Linked DNA regions of Rattus norvegicus. The protein of the gene in region 1 interacts with the protein of each later gene in a biochemical or structural test. Links are inferred from orthologs where the notes say so. Each region holds a gene or a part of one and is shown in the gene's direction. Other genes may lie near its edges.

The links. The genes of interacting proteins can lie anywhere in the genome.
Region 2: the proteins of Usp5 (region 1) and Cacna1h form a complex in vitro, tested with the Homo sapiens proteins (2 studies listed by BioGRID, with this or other methods). The link is inferred for Rattus norvegicus from reciprocal best matches to the Homo sapiens genes USP5 and CACNA1H.

The regions. Positions count from the first base shown.
Region 1 is NC_086022.1:159,314,420-159,318,074, reverse strand, and holds part of Usp5 (ubiquitin carboxyl-terminal hydrolase 5), read left to right. Parts: coding exon 1-63; intron 64-1,474; coding exon 1,475-1,541; intron 1,542-1,666; coding exon 1,667-1,800; intron 1,801-1,938; coding exon 1,939-2,084; intron 2,085-2,336; coding exon 2,337-2,521; intron 2,522-3,200; coding exon 3,201-3,295; intron 3,296-3,655. UniProt on the Homo sapiens protein: Deubiquitinating enzyme that participates in a wide range of cellular processes by specifically cleaving isopeptide bonds between ubiquitin and substrate proteins or ubiquitin itself.
Region 2 is NC_086028.1:14,909,822-14,913,476, reverse strand, and holds part of Cacna1h (voltage-dependent T-type calcium channel subunit alpha-1H), read left to right. Parts: coding exon 1-63; intron 64-565; exon of another isoform or gene 566-639; intron 640-992; coding exon 993-1,782; intron 1,783-2,062; coding exon 2,063-2,502; intron 2,503-3,655.

The DNA.
Region 1 (3,655 bases):
GAGAGACATTTCAACAAGACAGGCCAGCGTGTCTACCTGCACCTTCGGAGGACCCGGCGACCGGTAGGCATAGTGGCTAGGGTGTGGGCTGGGAACACCCAGACTCATTCCACTAGGTGTCTGTTTTGAGTTAGGGTTCTTCTTAGTTAGGGTTATTGCTATGGTGAAACACCATGACCAAAAACAAGTTGGGAGAATGGGCTGACACTGTATTTGGTTTACACTTCTACACCATAATCCATCATTGAAGGAAGTTAGGACAGGAACTCAAGGAGGGCAGGAACCTGGAGGCAAGAGCTGAAGCAGAGGCCATGGAGGGGGTTCTGCTTACTGGCTGGCTCAACCTTACAGAACCTAGGACTACCAGCCTAGGGATGGCACTCACATTAGGCTGGGCCCTTCCACACCAGGCATTAAGAAAATGCCCTACAGCCGTGATTCTAATGATGTGACCACAACAATTCTCATGTAGTGATGACCCCTGTCTTAGTTAGGGTCTTATTGCTGTGAACAGACACCAGGGCTAATGTAAGTTTTATAAAGGACAACATTTAATTGGGGCTCGCTTACAGGTTCAGAGGTTCAGTCCATTATCATCAAGGCAGGAGCATGGCAGCATCCAGGCAGGCATGGTGCAGGAGGAGCTGAGTTCTACATCTTCAGCCTCAGGCAGCTAGGAGGAGGGTCTCCAAGCCCACCCCCACAGTGACACTTCCTCCAACAAGACCACACCTTCTAGTAGTACCACACCCTGGGCCAAGCATATGCAAATCATCACAACCCCCAACCATAAAATTATTACTTTTTAAAGATTTATTTACTTATTATATATAAGTACACTGTAGCTGTCTTCAGACACACCAGAAGAGGGCATCAGATCCCATTACAGATGGTTGTGGGCCACCATGTGGTTGCTGGGATTTGAACTCAGAGCCTCCAGAAGAGCAGTCAGTGCTCTTAACCGCTGAGCCATCTCTCCAGCCCCCATAAAATTATTTTTGTTACTACTTGATAACTATAATTTTGCTACTGATATGAATTGTAATGCAAATATCCGATAGGTGATCCCTGTGGGGATACAAAACACAGGCTGAGAACTGCTGCCCTACAGGCTTGCTACAGCTGGAACTTATGGAGTTATTTTCTCAGCTGAGGCTCCCTCCTTCCTGCTAATGCTAGCTGTGTTAAGTTGACATAAAACTAGCCAGCAGCCCTCTAACTCTGTATTGTCCTTTGCTTTCCTGTCACACTCTCATTTGTGTCACTGAAATCTGTTGATCAGCCTCCTTGCGTTGTGCAGTTCACCATCTTTTCTCCTCACCTCCCTTTTTCCTTCTGTCCCTGAGGCTTAGTGCTGGTCCTGACCCTTTACTGAGTAGCCTGGAACTCTTAGAGCTCCTGCTTCTGTCTCCCAAATGCTAGGACAAAGTCGTGTGCCATCATGCCCGGCCCTCTGAACCTCTTTTCATTTCAGAAAGAAGAGGACTCCAGCGCAGGCACTGGAGACCCACCCCGGAAGAAGCCCACCCGGCTGGCCATTGGTGAGCTATCTGCCGGGACAGCCCTGAGCCTGATCAGTGGCCTCAGAAGTCCGGGGGGACAAACTGGAGAGACGATGACAAATGGTAGCTGCCCTACTTTCTTCCGTATTCTCTGCCCTACCCAGGTGTTGAAGGTGGGTTTGACCTCACCGAGGACAAGTTTGAATATGATGAGGACGTGAAGATTGTCATTTTGCCAGATTACCTGGAGATCGCTCGGGATGGGTTGGGGGGGCTTCCCGACATTGTCAGAGATCGGGTATGCATATCTTACCACCCTTCTAGAGATTGTAGGGCAGGAGGGGCTGCTGTGACAGTACTAACAAAACAGGAGACCACGGGTGACAGGGTGAGTGGGGCAGAGGCGGGGTCCTGGCTGACTTTTCAGTTCTTGTAGGTGACCAGTGCAGTGGAAGCCCTACTTTCGGCTGATTCAGCCTCTCGGAAGCAGGAGGTACAGGCTTGGGATGGGGAAGTCCGTCAGGTGTCTAAGCATGCCTTCAACCTCAAGCAGTTGGACAACCCCGCTCGGATCCCTCCCTGGTGAGACCTGGCTCCTCTTGTCATGGGGCACCATCACTGAAGGGGGGTACAGAGGCCATCTCTGTCTGGGAGCTGGTAAGAGAGGGGGTAGGGAGCAAGCCCAGAAGGAAGATATGGGGGCGATGAACAGTACAGGGATGCAGAAGAGAGAAGATGGGCTGTTGGACTGACAGGGGCCTGGAGACTCCCCTCTCGTTGCCACTCCCGTAGACCCCACCCACAATTGAGCTAATCTTCTTCTCCCTGGGCTAGTGGCTGGAGGTGCTCCAAGTGTGACATGAGAGAGAACCTGTGGCTCAACCTGACAGATGGCTCCATCCTGTGCGGCCGGCGCTACTTTGATGGCAGCGGGGGCAACAACCATGCTGTGGAGCACTACAGGGAGACTGGCTACCCCTTAGCTGTTAAGCTGGGCACCATCACACCCGATGGAGCTGGTACTCTCCTGCCCTCCCCATTACTGTGTTCCAGTTACCCATTTCATAGGACACAAATAACCTAGATGCGTTCCCGATATAACGAAAGCCTTTCACAGATCCCAGCCATCATCATGTGCTGCGACTGTCTTTCCAGACCTATCCTGCTGCCTAGCTAATGGTGCAGGGTACAGTCAGAACCAGAATTGAACTGCGTGTGTGTGTGCGATTGCACTAGTGCACATCTGCTATCCCAGAACTTAGGAGTGGAGGCAGGGGGATCGAAAGGTGAAGGTTTTCTTCAACTATATAACGAATTTGAAGTCAGCCTGGACTATGGGAGACCTATCACCAGAAACCAAGAGGAAGAGAATGCACCCCTGCATATACACCAACACATACATGTGTTAAAAAAGAAACTCACGGGGCTGGGGATTTAGCTCAGTGGTAGAGCGCTTACCTAGGAAGCGCAAGGCCCTGGGTTCGGTCCCCAGCTCCGAAAAAAAGAACCAAAAAAAAAAAAAAAGAAACTCACAATTCCTTATCCTGTTAAACCCTGTTTCCTCTGACAATTAGTTCAAGTGAGCCAGGAGGCTGATCCTGCTGGCCGTCTCTCTGTCCTCTGGGCAGGAGGTAGAGCTCATAGATAGGCCAGCACCAAGCTATCTGTCCCTGCCACACTGTCTGCCTTTTCCTCTAGATGTGTACTCTTACGACGAGGATGACATGGTCCTGGACCCTAGCCTGGCAGAGCACCTGTCTCACTTTGGCATCGACATGCTGAAGATGCAGAAGGTGAGGGAGGACCCCGCCCCACACTAGCTTCAGGTTCTCATTCCTGCCTCTGCGGCTGTTCTGGGCCTGAAGCTGAGGTAACCCAGGCCCCAAGGTATATGAATTTCTCTTTAAGAGATTGCTATAGTCATTTAGTCATTCAGTGAATACTACCAGATATTGGCTCTATGCCGATCACCATGTAAATAAAATAGGCATGGTCATCCGGGCAGTGTTGTGCACACCTTTAATCCTAGCACTTGGGAGGCAGAAGCAGGAGGATCTTTAAGTTCAAGACCAGCTTGGGGGTTGGGGATTTAGCTCAGTGGTAGAGCACTTGCCTAGCAAGCACAAGGCCCTGGGTTCGGTCCCCAGCTCTGG
Region 2 (3,655 bases), on another chromosome or scaffold:
ATGTACTACGTCATGGATGCCCACTCGTTCTACAACTTCATCTACTTCATCCTCCTCATCATTGTGAGTGTGGGTGTGACCGGCTGGTGGGCATCCCGAATTTGATGGGAGAGGAAGCCATATCCCGCCCCTTCCCCCTTGACGTTCATACATTCTGGACCTCCTAGAGTGCTGTCAGTAGTACAGAGGCAGCTGCGGGATGGGCTTCGGTGGGTGGGCAGGCAGGGGGCTTTTCTGCTCAGCCTATGGTTGAAGGAAGAACTCAGGATGGGAGGAGACCTATATGGCCCCTAGGCCCAAGGCTCAGAATCTTCAGAACAGTCAGTCCCAGCCCCCCCACGTCCCCCACTGTACCTCTAGCATAGCATTCCCACAACAAACATGGGATCTCCTAGCAAAGCCCCCTGTAGTGAACACGGATCTCTGGGAGTCTCTCAAACATCCATCACCGCACACTTCTTTGGCCCATGACTCCCCATTACCATTCACCCCACACACAGCCCCCCAAAGCATCCATGTCTCAGATGTAGTTTTATCTTGCCCCCCAATATCCCATGGTCCTCAGATAGGACGTTATCCGTTCATCGAACAGACGTTTCCAGATCCCTGGATGCTTAGGGAGCCGCCTGCAGGGCCCCGGTAAGAAAGGGATGTCATACAGTTGTAGTCTCAGACAGCCCACAGCAGGGACAAGGGGGGAGTCAGCAATGGCAGAACTGGCCATAGAGCTTGTCTGGGAAGGCCCCGCTGAAAGCCAAAGGACAGTGTGGCTGCAGTGGAGGGCTTGTTGAGGACAAACCTAAGGATCAGGAATTCATGCAGGACCCCAAGGGGAGGTCCCTGACCCATTATCACACAGTTGCAAAGTACCTATAGTAGGCCACTTCCCAGAATATCAGTGCCTGTGGCATTGTGACTAGGCCCCAGTCCCCAGAGAGGTTCGGGCTGGGCTGGATGCGGAGGTGCTGGTAGTCACACACACCCTGCCACAGGTGGGCTCCTTCTTCATGATCAACCTGTGCCTGGTGGTGATAGCCACACAGTTCTCAGAGACAAAGCAAAGGGAAAACCAGCTGATGCGAGAACAGCGGGCCCGCTATCTGTCCAACGACAGCACTCTGGCCAGCTTCTCAGAGCCCGGCAGCTGCTACGAGGAGCTCCTCAAGTATGTAGGCCACATCTTCCGGAAGGTTAAACGCCGTAGCCTGCGTCTTTATGCCCGCTGGCAGAGCCGCTGGCGTAAGAAGGTGGATCCCAGCAGTACCGTGCATGGCCAAGGCCCTGGGCGGCGGCCACGACGGGCAGGCAGGCGTACAGCTTCAGTGCACCATCTGGTCTACCACCACCACCACCACCATCACCACCATTACCACTTTAGCCACGGTGGCCCACGCAGGCCCAGCCCAGAGCCAGGTGCTGGTGACAACAGGTTGGTCAGGGCCTGTGCGCCACCCTCGCCGCCATCCCCAGGCCATGGGCCACCAGACTCTGAGTCTGTGCACAGTATCTACCATGCTGACTGCCACGTGGAGGGGCCGCAGGAACGAGCCCGAGTGGCACACTCCATAGCCACTGCTGCTAGCCTCAAGCTGGCCTCAGGTTTGGGTACCATGAACTACCCCACCATCCTACCTTCAGGAACAGTCAACAGCAAAGGTGGCACCAGCTCACGACCCAAGGGGCTACGAGGTGCTGGCGCCCCAGGGGCTGCAGTACACAGCCCTCTGAGCCTGGGAAGCCCCAGACCCTATGAGAAGATCCAGCATGTGGTGGGAGAACAAGGTGAGGACCCAGCCCCGCCATGTTGAGCAGAGTGGGGACCCAGGCAAGGCAGGTCCTTGGTCCTGAGTATTCCGGGCCCTCATCCCATTGCTCCAGGCTGACCCCAAGAGGAACTGTCAGGCCATTTCTTTGTATCTATTTATCTCTGAAACACTGCCCCTTTCTATGTGGAGAAACTAGAATTGGGATTGTGCTGGAGGGGAAATGGAGACCAGAGTCTCAGGGCCCTGGGTACTGCTGCAGTGGCCTAGCCACAACTGTTTATGCCTTTGCCTCACAGGACTAGGCCGAGCCTCTAGCCACCTGTCAGGCCTGAGTGTGCCTTGCCCCCTGCCCAGCCCCCAGGCTGGCACGCTGACCTGTGAGCTGAAGAGCTGCCCATATTGTGCCAGCGCCCTGGAGGACCCCGAGTTTGAATTCAGTGGCTCAGAGAGCGGGGACTCGGATGCCCACGGAGTCTATGAGTTTACCCAGGATGTACGGCATGGGGATTGTCGGGACCCTGTGCAGCAGCCCCATGAAGTGGGCACACCAGGCCACAGCAATGAGCGGCGGCGGACACCACTGCGGAAGGCCTCACAACCAGGAGGGATAGGCCACCTCTGGGCATCCTTCAGTGGCAAGCTACGTCGCATTGTAGACAGCAAGTACTTCAACCGAGGCATCATGGCAGCCATCCTCGTCAATACTCTGAGCATGGGCGTTGAGTATCATGAACAGGTGTGTGTGTGTGCAAACACGCCCTCCTTCCCCTGACCCCCAGGGCAAACCAGGGCCAGGCTTGCAGGATGATGACACCAGTTTTAGAAGCACAATTCAGGGTCCCTGTGTCTGCCTGGAATTCCTAGCCCTTTCCTGAGGTCTCTGAGGGAGCCATCTGATCTGGGATTTTTAGGTTCTGCTGAATGATCCACACAATACCATTTTGGCTCTAATTCAGCCACTCTCCCCCTGTGGGAGGGACAGGTGACTTGAGATCACCACAGACTACCCCCTCCACCCAGCTACCTCATCCCAAGGGGCAAGCTTTTGCCCAGACTCCCTCGGGAGGGGCTCCCTATGACTCCTCAACGTTCATGTCCTTGGGGAACTGAGGCTAGAAGGGGTCGGCAGCATCGGCTGGTTTTCAAGGAGGACCAAGGGTTACCTGGGATTCCACACCTGCCTGGATGCTGTAGGTCATCCTTTTCTTTCCTCAGCACCACACTAGGGAAAACAAGGCAAAGCCTGGTGTGACAGGCATTCCTGGGGGCCTTTCCTTGTTGTTGTAAAAATATGTAAATAAAAAGTAGAGTTGTCTTTTACCCGTTTAGGTCTGCACAGCGGTGCCCCAAGATATCTGCTAGGTATCTTGGCGGAAACACATCCCAGCCGCACACTTTCCTACACTCAAACCCTCACATAAAAGAACACACAACACAATAATCTTTGACCCAATTGGTAAGATGTAATTGCCCACTTAAACATACAAAGCCCAGTACCTTCGATCCCTTAGGAACATTGATAACAACCTGTAAATACACAGAGCAGAATCTTAACGTCACCTGCCATGGCTTCTCACCCTCTCCTCCTCCAGTCTCCTCCTCTTCCTTCAAACTTCTCTCCCGCCCATCTTTCCTTCTCCTCCAATGACAGGCCTCCTTCTATCCTGTACCTGCCCCTCACCTGTACTTTACAAATTCAATGGGGAGGTGGCTCTGGTGAAGTCACCTGAGTTCTGAGTAGTGACAAGGCAAGGCAGCTGTCCTTGGGGCAGTGGAATTAGCATCAAAATACAGATAACTTCAGGGCAAACCACAACATTTCCTCTCCTTTTTCTTACCTCACAGTAGGTAGGAAAAAAAATCTACCCACTGTGGCCTTAGGCAGACCT